Astyanax mexicanus: one gene and its partners. The protein of the gene in region 1 purifies or fractionates together with the protein of each later gene. This does not show direct contact. Links are inferred from orthologs where the notes say so. Each region holds a gene or a part of one and is shown on either strand. Other genes may lie near its edges.

Region 1 (7,020 bases):
CGTATCCACTGTGAATAGAGTGTACAACAATGCAAGTGTTTAAAGTGTTTTACCCTGCACTTTTAGCATATGGACTTTAAGCAACTTTTTACAGTGTTGGGTAAATCATGCTCCTGTCAGAGGCTCTGTGCTCTTTCCCCTAGATCTACTAATCTACTAGCTAGTGCAGTTCAGAGTGCAGATATAACCCACTGCTGCTGGGGGCTGACTGGTCCACTGTACATTTATAACTATAGGTGCGCAGAAAAACACTGAAGCTACTCTGTAACAAGTCCTGTAACTAGTTAGTTTGCAGCTGGAAAGATCATGCTCAGAATAATCTACTGTTTCACATAGTAAAACACTAGCTATAATATCAGAGGAGTATCAAATGTAATATAGGAGTCTCACAGGTAAACAGCTATAATATCAGAGGAGTATCACAGGTAAACAGCTATGATATCAGTGTAAAATCACAGGTAAACAGCTATGGTTTAGAGGAGTATCACAGGTAAACAGCTATGATATCAGAGGAGTATAACAGGTGAACAGCTATGATATCAGAGAAGTATCACAGGTGAACAGCTATGATAGAGAAGAAGTACCACAGGTGAACAGCTATGATATCAGAGGAGTATCACAGGTGAACCGCTATGATATCAGATAAGTATCACAGGTGAACAGCTATGATATCAGAGGAGTATAACAGGTGAACAGCTATGATATCAGAGGAGTATAACAGGTGAACAGCTATGATATCAGAGGAGTATAACAGGTGAACAGCTATGATATCAGAGGAGTATCACAGTTGAACAGCTATGATAGAGAAGTATCACAGGTGAACCACTATGATAGAGGAGGAGTATCACAGGTAATATCAGAGTATCAGAGGAGCATCAGACATAATATCAGATGAGAATCACAGGTAAACAGCTATGATATCAGAGGTGTACTAGAGGTGAACCGCTAAGATATCAGAGGAGTATCACAGGTGAACCGCTATGATATCAGATAAGTATCACAGGTGAACAGCTATGATAGAGGAGGAGTATCACAGGTAATATCAGAGTATCAGAGGAGCATCAGACATAATATCAGATGAGAATCACAGGTAAACAGCTATGATATCAGTGTAAAATCACAGGTAAACAGATATGGTTTAGAGGAGTATCAAAGGTAAACAGCTATGTTATCAGGTAAACAGCTCTAATATCAAAGTGGTAACACAGGTGAACAGCTATATGATATAAGAGGAGTATTACAGGTGAACAACTATGATATCAGAGGAAAATCACAGTTAAGCAACTATGGTTTTAGAGGAGTATCGCAGTTAATATCAGGAGTTTCACAGGTAAACAGGTATGATATCAGGGGAGTAACACAGGTGAATAGCTATGCTATCAGAGGAGAATCAAATGGAAATATTAGAGGAGTATCACAGGTAATAACTGAGACAAATTACAGGTAAACAGCTATGATATCAGTTAGTGTCACAGGTAATTTAAGAGACAAATCACAGGTAATATCATAAGAGAATCACAGGTGAACAGCTGTAAGATCAGAGAGGTTTAAGATCAAGATAAATTCTTAGTTACACGAGTTGAGATCCTCCGGAAGGGCCCGAGCTGCTGCTGCCCGCTGACCCGGCTCTTCAGCTCCCTCCCCGCGGCTCTGAAACCCGCCCGGACCGCAGCTACAGAGGCCATTCTGCAGCTCCACTGACCCCCAGCTCAGCGACCTCCACTATCAGACGGGCTGAATGGAAGTGAACCTGAGAGCGGGCGAAGCGCCGTGTAACCCGAGCGCTGTATACCACACAGCGTCAGAGCCGGGGCTGCCAGATCCTCTACAAACCCTCTTCTCTAATACTTTCTTTTTCTTAAGGATTAAGAAGATTATTAAAGATTTTAATAGTGGATATAGAGAAAAACATTGAATAAGAAGAGGTGGTCAAACGTTTTACTGGTACTGTGTATGTATGTATGCACATAACAAGTTTAAATTGCGTTTTAAGCTAATGTAATTTGTGTTAAAACCTGGAGTGTAGCTCGGGGGTTTATCTACACCTGGCAACCCACAACATTTGTTTTGGTCTGTCGGTTCGTAATATCCGCTGACGACACGCATAATGATGCGGAAGAAGTGCTCGGTTTCTCTCCGCTCTGAGAGAAATTCACACCTTTATTCTGTGTATTATTAATATATTACATTTAATCTGGAGCTGTGTGTGTTTCAGAGCCTGTAAACTGTCAGATATAGAGTGTAGACAATGGGGATCACCTCTCTCTCTCACACACATACATATATGTTACCATATATTTTTTTTTAACAATTCTAAGGCTTTTTATGAAATATTCTACTAATTATTATATATTCTGATATTCCAAAAATAATAAATGTGGGTATATTCTTTAGACTTTTTCGGCACATTTAATTCTGTGCCGAAAGAATAAACAATTAACAGCAGTTTCAAGAGATTTGTTTGTTTTTTTTAATTCAATGTAACAACTTGTGTTTTGAAGTAAAAAAAAAAAAGAAATATTTGCATTCGCATAGGAGAAACAAATGGTAATTTTTTCTAAAAGTTAAAGACCGTATTACAATAAAAAAAAGATAAGCCAGGTTTTTATCACAGTTACCTCAAAATGTAAAATATTGTTTATATCTTATTATATATTTATTAGAGAATTGCATGGGGGATATTTAAGTGTATTTCTTTTACTTTGTTTTATACACCTTATATAAAAGGATTCCATCATCCTTTACCTCAGTGAATATTTTCAATAAGAGCATTCCAATTAAATTGTACACACAGAGTGATATTTTATTATTGATGATAATGATTATGGCTTACAGCCAATAAAAATCCAAAAATCAGTGTCTCAGAAAATTAAAATATTATATAAGACCAATTGGTACTTTTGGCAGTGTAGGCAGTGTGCCAAGCCCTGCTAGAATATAAAATCTGCATTTCCATAATTGTCAGTAGAGGGAAGCAAATCAAGTCAAGTAGTTTTATTGTCAATACTGCATATGTAGAGGACATACAAAGAATTGAAATTACGTTACTCTCCTTCCCAAAAGTTACAGAAAGTTCAGAAAATAAGATTATAAATATAAAATAATGGGAGACTCTATATGTACAATACAACAAGGACACAGAGGCAAAAAGACACAAGACAATAGTGCAATAGTCGTGAGGGGGAGATTAAAGAGGAAATGACAGTACAAGTATAAACAGAACCCGTATAACAGTAGTGCAAATATAGTGGTATAATTGCTTAAGGCTGACAAAGGGAATAAGTGCACACAGTTCTTAAATGTTCAGGGGGAATTAACAGTGGGTATGACAGTGAAGTCCTTCCAACCATCACTGATCATCAGTAAATTTAGCATTTCATTTGGAAATCAAGGGAGCAAAGTCTGGAATAGTGGAGAGGCACACAGTCTAAGCTGCTTGAGGTCTAGTGTGAAGTTTCCACAATCAGTGATGATTTGGAAAGTCATGTCTCAATCTGCTGGTGTTGGTCCACTGTGTTATATCAAGTCAAAAGTCAGTGCAGTGTTTTCCTGGAAAATTCTACAGCACTTCATGCTTCCCTCTGCTGACAACATTTCATTTTCCAGCAGGACTTGGCACACTGCCCACAAGTGGGTAAGTACCAATTGGGTAAACCATAATCATCAACCATAAAGAAATAAACACACATTTTGAACTGAATTACTGAAATAAAGTAACTTTTCAACAATATTCTATTTTTTTGAGATGCACCTGTATTTGCTCATTTCTTCTCAGTTTTTTGATGATTGACGTCATGCACCTCAGGTCGGCCTCGGAGCAGAGCGGTGTGCGCGAAGGTGAACTGTCCTGAGCTGGATTCCGTAGTTTTGGACAAAACCAACTCGAAATGGGGGAGTTTTAATAGCGAAATATTGTTAAATCTGTCTGTTCTTACACAGAAGGGATATTTAACACTCTGTACATCAGCTTTGTAGTTAACTTAAAATTATTACAGGTTCCTGGTGTGTGTTTTACAGCTTTTTCCCAGTTCCGCAGTGTGTGTGGAGTCTGACATCCCTCCAGCTGATGGAGTTGTGCTGTCCTCCTCTGCTGCTGCTGCTGCGATGGAGCAGGTCTGAGAGAGAGAATCGGGCTTTCTGACAGCGGGGGAACTTCACTGAAACCGAGCGCACTGACCCTGAACCCCGAGGTAACCACCGACACTCAGCTACACACCCAGAACCGCGCCTTTATCCGCGTGTTTAGGGCGCGGGCGAGCCGGGGCCGGGTGTCGGGGCTGCGGGAGGAGGAGCTGCGGGCTGGAGCTCCTCTCTGGATCGGAGGCTCGCTCGGGTTTAGCCGACTAGCTGCTGTTTCGGTTCGGTTAGAGTTCGGATTTCAGCGCTCTGACTAAAAGGACGGTCCAGTAACTTTACTTGGGGAGTAGCTTCCTTGTTTTGGGCCTGTCTCAGTCTTTACCTCCACTAAACTCCAGCTCCAGCTCCCTAAACAAAACCGAAATCACTGAAATGTCAGACTAGCTGAAGCGGCTATCCGGCTAACTAGCTAGGCCTCCGTACTGTTAGGCTCGTGACTGTGTTTTTATAAGTAAACGGGTTTAAATCCCAACGGGTAAATCCGGGTAATTACCCAACTGTCGGCTTATAAAGCTTCACAGAAAACTCATATAACCAGCGTTAACTAACTGTATAACGAGCCTTCCTTAATATAGCCACAAATGGAGTTCATCAATCTGCTGGCTGGCTGGCTACTTACTTAGCCCTAGCTGTAAGACATGGTGGTGGTCTGAAGTTTGCTCTGTAGTTCTACTGTAAGACTGTAAGACTTCAAAATCTGCTCAAATCAATTTTACCCTGAAATGTTGTGCTTTTAATACTTGGTGTGTAACTAGCTTAATTATATTTAACTTATACTATTGCACAAGTTATATTGGCTTAAAAGTTACTGGTTGGCTTAACGTTATCCTAGCTAGATTTAGTTAACTATTTAGCTAGGTTAAATAAGTCAATACTTAAGCCCAAAATGTGATAACAGATATTTCATATATTGTAACCTTAGCTGTAATCTTAAAAACATCTTTTATCTACCATTTTTCACTTTATGACAATGTTAATCTGACAGTTTTCTACGTTGTGTCGAGTTTCACTAATAAACAGACCGATAGAAATGCTTTTGAAGATGCCTAGCCCTAGCTGTAAGACATGATGGTGCTCTAAAGTTTGCTCTGTAGTTTTACTGTAGGACTGTGAGGCTTTACAATCTGCAAATTTCAAATTTTCCCCAAAATGTTGTGGTTTTAAACATTTAAAGGTGTGTAGGTTAGTTATATTTATACCATTACACTAGCTATTTTGTGTTACAGGTTTACTAGTTAGCTAGATTTAGCTAACTAACTAGGTTAAATAAGTCAATAAGTTACTTAAAACCAAAATGTGATATGTCATGTACTATAGCTGTAATCCTAAAAATATCTTTGACCAGCCATTTAAAATTTTTGACAAAAAAGTACTCATATATTTTAAATAGCATTTTAAAATGCATTGTCCTGTTTTTTTTTTATGAAAACAAAAAAATATATATTCAACACTAAACTTTTTAAATGAGCCAGCTAAACAATGAAAGTGCCTTTTTGCCTTTTTAGCTGAATGATTTTGGTTGGTGAATATATGGGGCTTCCCTACTTGGAATAAAGAGTGTTTACATTGACTTCCATTGAAAGTTGTAAAGTTGTCATGGTTCTGAAGTTTTTCAGAACTGGTAGAGGCTTCCCAAATTAGACTTAAATGTCTTGACTCCCTTTGAGGAGATATGTTGCCCTAAATGTCCTGCAGTAAGTTTACTGAGTTTTACTGCTCTTTTGCAGTCACCTACAGAGCACTGCTAATAGCATGGTAATGATGCAGTGTTCTTTTAATTTATTTATTTTATCACAAATGTATCTGCATTCTTCTGCAAGGGCTTAATTGCTGCACTTCTGATAAAAAACACTAGTCAAGTGTGTATTTATATACTATATAGAAATGAAACACTGTTACTTGTATATTCTTTTCTACATTTTTTACATTATTTGACCCTTGCATTTAATAATTCTAGTGTGTACAAATTTCATGACAGGGTTCCCGCAGGTCCTTAAAATATGCATAATTTAGTTCTTAAATTGTCTTAACATTTCTGTAAATTTACTGTAGGTATTACATTTTTAGATGGTGCGTTTAATGCCAGTGGGAAAGCACTAACATTAGCGGAGAGCTTAGTAACATGCTAACAGGTTCTGCATCACAGTGGAACAAAATTGATGAAGAAAATTGATCATAAATGGGAAACGTTACATTTTAATTTTTAACACAATAAATTATTTTCTACTTAAGAAGTTATAACTACATTTTTGGGCCTTAAATATTTATAATATAATATTTATAACATATTTACTGAGGTCCTAAAAAGGTCTTAAAAAGCGTTCAATTTGACTTTTAACAAAGAGCAAGAACCCTGCATGATGAATTGGCCTCTTTAAAAGTAAAATTCAGATTCAGTTAGTGAATCTGTCATCTATTGATTGTTTGATAAGTGTAGATGCGCTGGTTTTATATGTACCTATATGAACCTAGAGTCGCTATGCCCCAGTGCTAAGCCTCGGTTCTAAAGCCATCCTCACTGGGCTGTAGAGGAGTTTTCTGTACTGAGGGAGCTCCATTCAATACTTTTGGGATAATCTGGTAGAGCTTAGGTCAGGCCCAAAATTAGGCTACAAGAATTAATTCTGAGTGACTTTATTCTAATCTAATATAATTTAACATGTTTTAAGATAAGAAAATAAATCTTAACAAAATATTTTTATATTGAGCTTATAGTCTATGTGCAAAAACAAACAAACAAACAAACAAAAAATTATTAGGCTATGCACTGCACAGCACTGCAAGTAAAGTGCGTACTACGGACAAGTGGAGTGTGCACTTTTTTAAAACACAGTTTTAAACCTTGCTAGTGATTATCATGCCATAGATTTATATAAAATAAAA
Region 2 (7,140 bases), on another chromosome or scaffold:
CTGTAACAATCAATTCATGCAATTCTGGGAAATTCTATTCCTCTAAATCAATACACACAAGCACTAAAAATATATTTAATATACTGTAGAAAAGAGTACAGTTTTTAATACTAAAGACACTGCACAAAATGTACAAATCAAACTCCCTCTTAGACTTCCCTCTTTCTGAGGTAATCACTTCATCTTTATCTAAAAATAAAGACAAATCAAGTGCACATGAGCATATGAGGGACAACATATTTGATTAAGCATCTTTAAAACGTTGAATTCTCCAACAAACCGAAAATGGGAAAATGGAATGTTTGGCTCATCTGCTGGCACTTTCTTATTCTAAATTGCAACAGAGTGATGTCATGACCTTAAATCTCTGAAAAGTAAATTAACTGATTATCTTGCTGCAACGGCGAATGGGTGGGATACTGTATACTGTATTAGGTAGCAAGTGCGCAGTTGGTTCTTGAAAAAATGGGCAAGCGTAAGAATCTTAAACACTTTGACCAAGGGACAAATAGCGATGACTATATGAATGGGTCACAGCATCTCCAAAACAACTTGAATAATGAGCGATCCTGGCATGCTGTGGTTGCTACCTACCAAAAGTGATCAGACATAGCACAACAAACAGACTCAAGAATGTCCAACCTCTCAATCTACAGAATTGTTGCTAATATCTTCAAGTTAGATACATCAAAACAAGTTTTATGGAGCATACTCCAGGATGGGTTAAAACTGTTGCCTGCAACATATTGAGACACGAACACATCAAATCAAGACATTGGAGTATTGTATCTTGGTGAATTATGCAAACAACATTAGGAGATTGCAGCGTAAAAAGTTAGTGTGGTGTGGAAATAGCATTATCAGTGAGGAAAACTAACAATTTCACTCTTTGAAGCAATAGCTTGCAAACAACCAACCCTCAACTCCAAAACAACAAGAGCGTGCACCACAGTTCTCTCATCTCTATCCATAGTAAGTTAATAGTAAATTGTACCTCAATTTAACACTCATTTACAATGCTGCAATAAACAATGTCGTCATTATTAATTATTGTCAACATTGACAAACACAATAGGCGAAATCAGGATCATCATATATTATTATGGTGATGTCCAATTTTTTCAATAATGTACTTATTGTGACTAAATTTTGTAGATTTGTACTGAACTTACTTGACATTGGTTAAACGTGAAATATTTGATGGATAATATTTTTAATGTAGGTTTTAAACTTGAAGTGTTGAAATTTTATGTTATGAACACATTAAAACAAAAATGTCTGATCCATAAATTTAAACCTATCTGACTGAAAACTGTTTTTATAAGTTAAATGATGTGTTTTGTTTAATTTTCCTGAAAAGCCAGGATGTTTCAACTATGAAGGAAATGTTTTCAAAGCAAAAAGCATTGTTAGTTTTTATTACCAAAAACTTTTATACATGAAATAGATGGTTAGCGTTACTATTCTTAGACCGTTTTATTTAACGTTTTTAAACGTTCTGGTAACGTCGGTGAATTGGTGTTAACGTATTTTAATTTTTGTGTTAGCAATGCTACTTTTAACGCTTTGATAAATTTTAGCATTGGTCTAGATTGGAATGTTATGTGAGAAACGCTTATATTTTTACATTATTAGCTACTTCACACGTTTTCAGAAAGTCCCTTAAAATTATTTCTCTAACGTTACAGTATAATATTACTTTTTGCTCAAGTTTAGTAAATGTTAAGTAGATTTAATTTAGATTCGAGCAATTGTCAACTTATGTGAGCTGCATAGTTTTGCACCTGCAGCCACTTACTATAAAAACACAACGTGAGTCAACTTCCACTGGTTACAATAATAATGGCACCAGCATGCTAAACATCTAAATTACCTAGATAGCTAACTAACTAGTTAACATACATTGTTGCCCCACAGACTAAACTCCTGGTGATAACTTAATAACCTTAGTGTTGACAGAGAAAACACGACTATTCTATTAGCTAAATAGATTAGCCAACGAGTTAATGACAAGACAAGATGACAAGTCAACTTTGTGACAGGCCACACTAGCTAGCCAGCTTTGTTAAATTAGTCAGCTAACCTACATCTACATCTCATGTTAGTAGATTTGTTCAAAATATAACGTTGACTATCATCCAAACAACTGTTACTGTGCAATAAAACGGTGATTATCTGTTTCATAGTTAAGTTAGCAAGCCAGCGCAGCCTCCCTCCGCACCAGCCTGCTCTAGAAGAGCTCATAGCGCCCTAATGTTTGCTAATAGTGCTAGCTAACGTAACTGGCAAAATCAGCCGTTTAGCGCGCTAACCTGAGGAGCTAGCTTGCTTACATTGTTAGCGAGTTAGTTAGCAAGCTAGCTAGCTTACTGTTAGCACAAATCCCCACTTACAGCGAATTAACTCCATAAGGTTGATTTAAAAGCAAAAATAAGACGTTCCAACTGTCTTTAGCTATCTTATAACTTGTCGACTAACTGGCTGGTGCGCTAAACACAACAGCGGCGGATCTGCGGCCTAGCTAACTAGCAAGCTAAGCTAACCAAGCTAGGCTAGCTATCGTTAGCTTAGCCTACCCAGCTCCAAACTCAGTGCACGATCCCCATTTCAGAACGAAAACACGGCCCACACGCGCTGCAGCTCTAACAACCACACATATACCCGAACTTCACACCGCAGCGGCGGTATTCGGGAGCATGGCTCACCTGAAATCCTTATCGCTGGAAGTCATTTTTTCCAGGAGATTAGAGATGTGGTATGAGGCGCTCGCCATATTTGCAGTCAGTCAGTTGGAGCAGCTCGCTGGTAGCAACCACTTGTGAGTATCGCGGCCACAATCACTAGTTATCCTCCCCCTCCACTTTCTCGCGTAGCTGCAGCGCTGCGACACAAAGCCGGTTCTCCACGCTCTCTGCAGTCTCTGTGCGGCTCTAGCAGGGCGGCGGAGTTACACTTGCATCCCCCTGAGTTTGGAGGTTTGAATGGAGGTCCTGCTTCGCTCTGCAAGAGGGAGGAGCTGCGGCTCCAGACGGAGAGGGCAAAGTTGAGAGAGATCTCTGTGGGCGGGGCCTCGCCTTCACCGACAGCTAAACTGGCCAATCGCAACGCAGGAATAAAGATTACAGAGTTTGGAGAGGTTCAGCGACAACACAGCTAACAGTTTTATTTAGTATCATTTTTAGTTCTAATTTATTCCCATTTTCTCCCTAATTTACACGTCCAATTACCCAACAATTCCCTATCACTAGTGATGCCCCAACAACAGGGGGGTAAAGACTGGCACATGCCTCCTCTATTATATGTGAAGTTAGCATTACTGAGTAGCATCACAGCGCAGTGAGTCGGTTCAGATCATAGACTGTGTATAGCTGGACAGAACATCGTCTCTCAAAAGTGAAGCCACCACAGGTCGGGCGCCCCCTGCTGTTCGGCTGCAGAAAGCTGTATAACCCCACCCACCCCCATAGGTTTCAATGGCAAAACAGACAACTTTCAATCACGTTTTTTTCTAATATACTGTAATTCTTCCACCTTTATTTAAATGCAACAGCTGGTGTAACCTCTGCTTATATTGTCAATTTGTTTTATATTCCCACAGAATTCGTTTTTTAAAGCGTTATTCAGCTCTATTTAAAAAGGTGTGGTTATTGTAAAAAGGGCTGGGTTACACCTAGCTGGGGTGGGACCAATGACTGTATGGGCGGGACCAATAACAGACCGAACCTGCATCATGTTCTTTTTTCCCCTTACGTCAAGCAGTAGACTAGTACTAGTAGTTAGTCAAACGTTTAGCTAGCTAACTACCATTATTATTTTTTATTAGCTAAACTGAATTTAGATAGCTGTATTATTAATGTCGTGTTCTGCTGTTAATTGCTCTAACAGACATTCTGGACAAAGTTCTTTGCAGTTTTTTCGGTAAGTTTGCTGGCTGTTTTTCCCTCCACTCCTTTGTCTGTGTGCATTTTATTTTATTAGTTATCATCTTAGACGAACCATTTAATCTCGGTTGGATTTTATAGCTAGCTTAATTTGTTAGCTAACATTAGTGTAGTTATCTAACTAACTATATTCGCTAGACTCTGTAGAATTCATATTTTTACTTGGTCAGTGGCTTCGCCCGTCACCGGTGCGTGCGGCAAGCTGACCCAGATAGCATGAAGGCTCTGCCCGAGATCCGCTGATGTACGGCAGCACTGGTTTAGACTCTGCATAATCCGTGCAGAATTTAGCCAAATGTGCTCAGTTTGTCTCAGCAGCAAAATTAACTGAGCTTCAGTACGGGATTCGTCTCGTTGTTTAAAGCAATAACTAGTCCTGGCATTCACTGCCGTTTGGTGATGTTTTTTTTTTCGCTGTATTTTATTCACTTCCACTTGCTACATACAGAACTATCATGTGGTTATCATGTGGTTAATATCCATAACGTGCACGAACTGCACTGTTACTATGAAAATATTAACCTTATCGTGCTGCAGATAAGTTCTCCGCTCGGCTCGGTTTGTCAGACTGTGTGAGCTCTGTTGAGGCAGCCCTCAGGGGCGGGTTTATTTAAATGAGTAGGCTGTCTCTCCACAGTCTTTCTCCCTCCTCTGGTCTCTACTGCGCAGACTCTGGTCTCTGAATCGCCAAAATGGCGGAAGATTTTGGCTTCATTTTCATTGAATGAATGGGAACGGCGACACGGCGTCCATCTTTATATACAGTCTATGGTTCAGATAAATTAGCTCTCAGGTGGGTCCATCTACCCACCTCGAGAAAGAGCAAGACCAGTTGTCCTCTCTCAGGGCTCCAGTAGCCAATAGCAAGCTATATGAACAGGATTTCATGGTGGAATAACCCTTGTGTTTAATCACAGTTTTTATTAATCTTATTGTCCTCCACCAGTCTTGCACACTGCTTTTGGATAACTTTATGGCATTCCTGGTGCAAAAAGTCAAGCAGTTCAGCTTGGTTTGATGGCTTGTGATCATCTTTCTTCCTCTTGATTATATTCCAGAGGTTTTCAATTTGGTAAAATCAAATAAACTCATCTTTTTTTCGTTGTCTCTTGTTTTTTTTTCCAGAGCTGTAATAATTCAGCCAAAATCACTTGATATTCCCAACCCTAATAGAGATTGTGATAAATTACCTAGGTAGCTAAAGTTAGCTAACTTTAGCTAAAGCTTAGTGCTTACCATACAAATCTATTCATATGTGCATTAAATATTTAAAGCCTCTCTAAAGCTCACCTTGTTAGAGTCTAGTAAATGTTGGGTAAATTATTGTGTAATAATTCTAAAAAGGTAAGTTGGTGATGGAATTAAACACATCCACTGGGGCGTTGCTACCTTGATTTAATCCCCAAAACTAACTCACAAGCTCTCAACTACATTGTTATTTTTTATTGTATTCATTTTTGACTGCACAAGCTTCAACATTTTTACAAGCAAACCCATCTTTATTGCTGAGATAAAGGTTTTTAAATAATGTGCTTAGGTGTCTAAAACCTTTGCATAACATTTTATATGTGCAGTCATTCATTCCTCTTCTTATCTGCTTCCCTACGGTCAGGGTTGCACTAGGTTCTGGAGTCTACCTGGAATCCCTGGGCAAGAGGCAGGAATTTGCCCTGTAGCCTGCACCAGTCCATGGCTGGATACCGCACACCCAGCACACCCAGTACACCCAGTACCTCACACCCTCACAACTAGGGGCAATTTAGCATTGCCAATTCATTTTGCTATGCTAAACCCACAACCCCAGGCCTCTGGAGCTGTGCAGCACACACACACTACCTTTTGTGTCACCTTTTGTGCTTCTTCATTCACATTCAGTTTGTATGTTTTTAGGTTTACAATCTAAATGATTTAACTTAAAAATCACTTTAAATTCAACTTAAATTCACTGAATTAGTTTAAAGGAGCAATACATACTGTCATTTACCTAAGAAATGTGCAAGCTGAATTGAGGAAACAGGATAGATATTTGTTACAAATACTATTAGCAGGTAGTAAAAAAACAATAACTGTTAGTGGAGATTGCCGGTTTGAATCCTGTTTATGTAGCTTGCCATTGGCTACCAGAGCCCTGAGAAAGCACAATTGGCCTTGCTCTCTCTCTGGGTGGGTAGATGGCGCTCTCTTCCCACATCACTACAAAAGGGCTGATGTATCGGAACAGAGTCGCTGCGCTTTCCTCCGAGTGCGCTGTGATGCTACTCAGCAATGCTGCATCAGCAGCAGTTTGGAAAGAGGTGGTGGCTGACTTCAGATGTGTCGGAGGAGGCGTGTTCTTGTTTTCACCGTCCTAGTGTTGGGCTATCACTAGTGATGGGGGAGTCCTAATAGGAGGACTATTAGAGGAAAAAATGAGAAAAAAGACAGTTTGTGCCAAACCTCACAATGATTCATGATGATTTCTGTAGTAAGTTGTGTATCCAGGTCCCTAAAGTTGAACTAATCTGCGTTATTCTCAGTTTTATGACTTCATTGTAGACAGGAGGCCAAACATGATTGCGATAATGGGACACTTACGCAGTGGAAAGACACAGTTGTGTGCTACTCTAGTATTAGAGTGCTCTAATACAGACATGGCTGGAATAGCTGCTCTAAAAGCAGGACTTTTCAGACACATGCAGAAGCAAATGTACAAATAAATGCAGCCAAGTCCCAATCTCATTATGTTGAAGATATAAAAAGCCAATAATGTAAAAAAGGAAAAAAAGTGCAAATAGTGAAAAATAATCATGTTGGCATTTTGGTCATTTGTGGCAGCCAACTTTGTTTTCTGAAAAGCCATTTGATTACGCCCTCATCAATCCAGGGCCAATTTATTTGCACCGCAACAAGGAACCAATTTGCCATAAAATCTGTTATGATTTCTAAGAATACCCTCAACAGCTGTGTACTAAATTGCTCTTAGATGGACAGCAGGTGGCAAAGGCATAAAAATGAGATTGAGGGCTGAGTTTAATGTTGGGGTGGAAAAACACAACAAACAGTTTAGCACAGGGCATTTCCTACTTAACATCATCAAACTGATTCAATGACTCAAATTCATTTTATAGTGAAGGTCACTCGTGGTCTGAATGCAATGCAAGGTTTGTTGTAATTTCAGACATTATATACAATGTTCCAAACAAAGCAGGGTGTTATATAA
Region 3 (6,841 bases), on another chromosome or scaffold:
AAAAATCCAAAAAAAAATCCACAGAAAATTCACAAAAACACAAAAATAAAAGCAAAGACCAAACTGAAATAATACTGCAAAGGATAATAAAATAACCAATTATATTTAAAAATATATATTTGCTATATATTTTTTCTCTTTTGAATTTGTAACATACAATTTTTGCTTTTGATTCCTAACATTTTGATTGCGGATTTATTTTTTTTGTGTAAAACTTTTGGCACAAAATTCACTCCATAAAAGAACACTCTTCTCCTTCCATGGACAGTTATCAGTTTGCGTACCGGGCCAATAGATCTGTTGATGATACAGTCAACCTGGCCCTTCATAGGATTATGCAACATCTGGAATCCCCTAATACATATGCTCGGATATTGTTCATTGACTTTAGTTCGGCCTTTAATACTATTAATCCCATCAATCTTTTCAATAAACTTAGGGATATGGACATTGATATTGCTCTATGTTACTGGATCCACAATTTTTTGTCAAAAAGAACGCAGAGAGTCAGGATGGGTAACCTCTCTTCCCAAACTCTGACCCTTAGTACAGGAGCCCCCCAGGGCTGTGTTCTTTCACCGTGGTTATTCTCACTCTACACAAACACCCTCACATCTACCCACAGTTCAGTTTCTATTCTCAAATATGCAGATGACACAACAATAATTGGTCTTATCACCAACAATAACGAACATCACTATCGCGAACAGGTTGCCCAAGCAGTCACTTGGTGCCAAAATAACAATTTACAGCTTAACATATTAAAAACTCAGGAACTCATAGTTGATTTTTCTCGCACACCCATATACAAAATACCCATCTCTATTTTTTCGCAACCCATTATCATCACTGATTCATTCAAATTTCTGGGAACCCATATCAGCAACACACTTAAATGGAAACTACACTCACACCAACTCTACAAAAAAGCCAACAAAAGGCTATTCTTTCTCAGACAACTAAAAAAATTCAGAGTTAGGAAAAATATCCTTCTTCAGTTCTACACTGCCATCATTCAAAGCATACTCACCTCATCCATAACAGTGTGGTATGGGAATTTGGATACCCATTCACGCAAAAAACTGCAAAGTATAGTAGATAAATCATCAAAAATCACAGGGCACATCCTCCCATCCATTGACACTTTATATTACAGACGCATCACACAACGAGCAATAAAAATCACCTCAGACCCCTCCCATCCTGCATATCATCTATTTACACTTATGCCTTCTGGAAGACGTTACAGGTCACTGTCAACTAAATCTGTCAGATTTAAAAATAGTTTTTTCCCAACTGCTGTACGTTTACTAAACCAGGTTTAACTGTTTATGTATGTATTTGTCTATTCACTGTTATGTGTTGTTTGTTGTTTTGATACAGACATAGATGTGAGCATGTTATGTTATGCTGTACCGTAAGTAAATTCCACCAACTTGTTGTGTGGTCATTAATAATAAATGAAATAATAAATGAAATTGAGTACTTTTTACTTTTACTCAAGTAGATTTTTAGATGGGTACTTTTATTTTTACTTGAGTAGACTTTTAGCAAAGTAAAGATGTGTGTGTGTGTGTGTATTAATGTATTATTTAGTTTTTGTATAAGTATTGTTTAGTTTATATGTATAGTATTTATATATCTATAAACTACATAATACTATAGACCGTTTCAGAGGAATATTCATGAGTGCAGGAAGTGACGTAGCTGTTCCTAGGACACTTCCGTTTTGCGGTAAACAGCGTTCAAAACAGTGGATGTGATTTAATTTAAACCTTCCCTTAAAAACTGTTCCACAGCCACAAGAACTGCTGCAACATGACTGCAAACTTCCCCTAATCTGAGAGTCACAAACACTGAAAATCAGTTCATTACCAGCAGATTCTCAAATTGTTATTTAACAAGTAAACTATGGAGGACCAAAAATGACATAAGTATAAATAAATAAATGCACATATAAATGTATAAATAAATAAATAAATAAATAAATGCACATATAAATGAATAAATAAATAAATATATAAATAAATTAAAACATGCATAAATAATTGTATAGGTTAATAAATACATTAATAAATACATTTCTTATTCATATATTTATTTATTTATTCATTTATACGTGCACTTATTTAGTTCAACATTTATTTATTTATTTATTTATTTCAACATTTATTTATTTATTCATTCATTTATTATAACATTTCTACATTTATTTATTGATTTATTTCCACATTTCCACATATTTATTCATTTATTTATTTACCTATACAATTATTTATATGTGTATTTATTTATTTATTCATTTATATGTGCCTTTATTAATATATTTATTTATTTTAACATTTATATATTTATGCATTTATTTATTTATACTTTTTGGTCCTCCATAGTAGACACGCGTGCTTTCGCTTTTCTCACAATGTCTCCCTCCTTCTTATACAAATCATGCAGAGTACGTGTTGGATAGCGTTTGACTTGCTACAACCTCAAAATACACTATAGTGATGCTTCTCTCCTATAGGAACAAATATTCCCAACTTTTCCACTGAGAAAGTAATTATATCCGTCCAAACTGTGGTACGCTTTCACTGCCTGTCTGGTGTAAACACGCCCTGTTTCAAGGAGATAGTGATCACATCTGGGTAGTTCACCTCTGGCAAGCGTTTTAAATCAGAGGAAAAAACTTTCCTCTTAAATCCTTATCAAAAAGATCAGGAAAAGAGGTTTGATCACTTTTTATTAATTTCTGACCTGTTTGCTTTGTGTTCGGGAGACTTGCGAAATATGCGCTCTCATTTTGACAGCTGTATACTTGAAAATAGCGCCACCGGAAGCGTCAAAGGAACAGACATGCGCAGTAGCTTTGTTATTGTTTTCCCCATTGAACTGTCTATATATATATATATATAAATTAAATAATACATTATTCTAAGTCATTCTTTTTTTTTCCAACTTCATTTCAAATGCCCTCTATTTGTTTATGTTCAGTTCTACTCGTTCACATTTAAAATGTTTAAGTAATTGCACAGATAATTAACCTGGACTTAATTAATTTGGTATTTTGTGGTCTGAAGCAAAACGAAAATCAAAATCTCTGGCTCATTTCTCAGCTCTGAGTTTAGTTGTGGCGGGTAGAATCTCAAACAGGAAACAGGAAAAACTCCGTAGGATAGACTGTCCCATTTCAGTAGAGCCGCTGCAGCCTACCCATCCTTCAAAGGACACACCTTCGTAGACCGCGTCCTTCGAAGGATGCAGCCTCTGAATTGAGACACAGCTTATGACTGCTCATTACCCGAAGCCTCACTGAATACTGCTCACTAGTGACTCCTGCTGTATAAAGGGTTATACAACAGCATGAATGAATCCTGACCCACAGTATCCTGGAATGTCTGTGTATAAAATAAACGAATTATTCTACTCTGTTTTAATGAATATTAAAATGTCTGTTCATTTAAATATTATTAATTAAGTGTTGGTAAACACAAAGCTTACTGACACTGATGGCGAGAGTGCTTAGAACTGGGAGTAAAGGACACTAAACTGTAACAGAGCAGTAGGAGAAAACAGTTTTTAACTGTATTGTTGTTGCTGAGGCGATTTCCTATATTTGCTGACTGTTTGCAGCAGCTGTGATTGGCTGGCAGTGTTAGGGCGCTGAAAACCAGCATTGTGATTGGCTCAGTGGATCAGTTGTCGCCATCCTATTAAAAGGGCTCAGCTTTCCCATTCCCCCAATTACTTTCCTTCTCTCCACTCCTCCTCCTCATTTCCTCCACCTTCTTCTGGCGTTGGAGAAGAGGAGCAGGAAAGGACGCAGCCAGGATCCGACTCGGGACTCCTCGCTTCGATTGTCATCACTACCTGCAGCCCGGCGCTGTAATACTGCAGGCGGCCTGCAGGGGCGGTGCTGCCAGGAGCGTGTAAGAAAGCCGAGCGGTGAAGAAGAAGCCAGTGCACTGTAAGCTCCGGCTAACCGGAGCTAACCGAGGTTAAGAGTGGGTAACAGCGGCGGGGAACGGAGGGTAAGGGGAGCTGCTGGGTCCTGAACGGAGAGCGAGCATGCCGGTGGCGGTGGTGGTGATGGGGGAGAGCTGTGAGAAGCTGCTGGATCAGTGCGAGGCGCAGGAGCTGGAGGTGAGGAAGAGAGAGAGAGTGTGGGGAGCTCGGACTGAGGATTACTGTAGATTAGTTTAGTTTAGCGTTGTTTATTTAGTGAAGTAGGTTAGCTAGTTTAGTAATGAAGTGGTGAACTGGTGAGTGAGCGCTGGCGGAGCGGCCGGGGTCTTTATTATAACAGTTCCGCGGTTTATGTGCGGGATCACTGAAAACAGAGGTTGTTTATCTGAACATAAGAAGAATCCAGATCCAGAAAATCCGCGCCGTAGCTGTGCTGCGGCCGCAGGTCTGATTCTGTGTATCTCCGAGATGCTGCGGAGCTGCTCAGGCAGTGGGAGCGAAACCCTGGCGCGGATCATTCCTATCTGGACGTGGACTCTGCATCTACTGAACCCCCCCGCTTACTGCAGCTCTAATATCTACAATTGAATTGAATTGATACCAAACAGCCTCTAAAAACATTAATCACTCAGTGTTTTACCCCTTAATGTTGATGATGGAAAAACAACCTTTAAACAGCATCGGTTAGAGTTAAACTCTGACATTGAATCAATGATTATTTAAATGCCTTGAATGTTTAACACTCACAATAATGCTTATAGGAGAAAGCTGCTTCCCTCTAATAACATTAATAACAATAATATTAATTATAATAGTGGTGTTGGTGGTAGTAGTAGTAGTAGTAGTAGTAGTTAGAATAGTAACAATATCAATTATAAAATTAGGAGAATTATTATTATTATTATTATTATTATTATTATTATTATTATTATTATTATTATTATTATTCCTTTCTGGCAAGAACAAAGTACAGTCTAAAAGAATACAATACAAACAAGATATACATATTTATTGTTAGAGAATACAAACAACACAAATCCATAACACTGAATCAGCGTTGATTTATATTTGCAGTCTTATAATTTAGCAGAATTGTAATTTACGAGTGAATGGACTCTGTGTCTGGACTCGGCAGGTGTTTAGTGAAATGTTGTAGTCTTGATGAGCTGACCAGTATTCTCCCTTTTATATACCATAACATAGTTCTTACTAGTAATATTATCACATCTGCAGATCTGTAAATCAGTTCTGACTTGTCACAAGACCCACACCACGCATCTCTAATGTATTTCTTTGTAGTCACATGATTCACACATCCCAAATGTAATTCTGTGTAGTCACATGACCCACCTGAATCAGTTGTTCATGCAGCTACTAATCTTAAACTGCCTCTCGCAATAATACGCTTGGGTCTCTGCTGGAGTTTTGATGTGATTAATCAATCTTAGTAACTCTCTTTAATGCTCTGTTCTCATTGTCTGCTGTTTGCTGTGATTGCAGGCTCCAGGTGGCATCGCTACTCCACAGGTGTATTCTCAGTTACTGGCTCTGTATCTTCTCCACAATGACATGTAAGTTTTCGCACATCCTCCATTTTAGGAATGTGCTTAATTATAGACAGTAATGTCACAAACATTTTTGGCACAAAACAAAAGCTATATGACAATAGTGATCAGCAGTATTGTGTAGTGCTGGGTGATATGACAAAAAAAAAAGATTTTGATGGCTGCACAGTATATTGCATTTTTTTTTATTTACTCTTCTTACTTTATATATATCTTTGTACTGGGCTTTTATTTAGGTTTGTGACTATTTGTGACTTATTCCAGGAATATGTAGAATATAAAACATTAAGGGCGATATTGTACACCCTGTGCAAGGCACGTCGCAATGCTTGTTTCTGTCTTATACCCTGTCAACAGTTTATTTCTGTGCTGATTACAGTACTCTCAATCCAGTCCAGTGAAAGTGTGTTCAGAAAGCATTTAAAGATAAACGGGGAAGAGAATGCAATATGTGGAAGCGCCACGTTACAAAATAAACCAATCACATGACCCGCATGCGAACCCAGGCATGGTGAGCTTCCATACCCGAGTCCACTTAAAATGAACCTTAGACCACTGATTTCAGGAGGCCCAGGGCTTAAAAGCAACTTACACACTTAACTAAACATACCAGACCAGCGGAGAAAGTGCAAAATAAAGATGCAGAGCCTCTTCAAGCTGTTTACTATCAGATTGTTTTTTTAATGCTAATGCTAGCTAGCGTACTGTTCCTCTGGTCTTTGGCTGTGCTGTTCCACACAGTTCCCTTCAGCACTTTGAGTGGAGAACAGTATTATATAATTTGCTGCCTGTTGAACCATTACAGCTGTCTTTTCAGCTATGCTACAATATTTCGGAACATGAAAAATGCACACCGGATGTGAAAATAGAATCAGTATACCCAGCCCTACTATTTTCTGTATTAGCTTTTAATTGTTTACGTTTGCAGTTTATATGCAGCACTATGTGGCACTTTAGTTTTGCGATAGATATTTGTCACAATACTTTATCTTTGTTACATTTTACTGTTATTATTCTATACAGAATCAGAATTTACTGTTTATTAAATAGTCAAAATTAGATTACAGTATGTTTTGTGTCACCTGAATATATTAAACTGTTATACTAAATAAAGCTTTGCAGTTATATGTTCTTGAAATTAATTTAAAAAATAAATCTCTTTGTCACATAACATGGTGATTATTTTTTGGCCATATCTGACCACGATCTAATTCCTTTATGGTAATTCCTTATCAATTGATCACTTAAATTAGGTAACAATTTATATGTTCTGTGTTTTTGCAGGAACAATGCCAGATATCTTTGGAAGCGGATTC

The links. Proteins that work in one complex are often made in the same cells at the same time.
Region 2: the proteins of cul2 (region 1) and cand1 purify together in Homo sapiens (affinity purification with western blotting; 7 studies listed by BioGRID and IntAct, with this or other methods). This does not show direct contact. The link is inferred for Astyanax mexicanus from reciprocal best matches to the Homo sapiens genes CUL2 and CAND1.
Region 3: the proteins of cul2 (region 1) and cops8 purify together in Homo sapiens (affinity purification with mass spectrometry; 4 studies listed by BioGRID and IntAct, counting the BioPlex papers as one, with this or other methods). This does not show direct contact. The link is inferred for Astyanax mexicanus from reciprocal best matches to the Homo sapiens genes CUL2 and COPS8.

Annotation. Positions count from the first base shown.
Region 1 is NC_064413.1:45,837,245-45,844,264, reverse strand, and holds the start of cul2 (cullin-2), read left to right. Parts: upstream 1-3,993; 5' UTR 3,994-4,190; intron 4,191-4,666; exon of another isoform or gene 4,667-4,819; intron 4,820-7,020. Other genes in the region: rmdn1 (regulator of microtubule dynamics protein 1), read right to left, coding at 1,575-1,685.
Region 2 is NC_064409.1:11,542,019-11,549,158, reverse strand, and holds the start of cand1 (cullin-associated NEDD8-dissociated protein 1), read right to left. Parts: upstream 3,028-7,140; 5' UTR 2,774-3,027; coding exon 2,706-2,773; intron 1-2,705. UniProt on the Homo sapiens protein: Key assembly factor of SCF (SKP1-CUL1-F-box protein) E3 ubiquitin ligase complexes that promotes the exchange of the substrate-recognition F-box subunit in SCF complexes, thereby playing a key role in the cellular repertoire of SCF complexes.
Region 3 is NC_064418.1:23,877,664-23,884,504, reverse strand, and holds the start of cops8 (COP9 signalosome complex subunit 8), read left to right. Parts: upstream 1-3,814; 5' UTR 3,815-4,062; coding exon 4,063-4,137; intron 4,138-5,460; coding exon 5,461-5,531; intron 5,532-6,809; coding exon 6,810-6,841. UniProt on the Homo sapiens protein: Component of the COP9 signalosome complex (CSN), a complex involved in various cellular and developmental processes.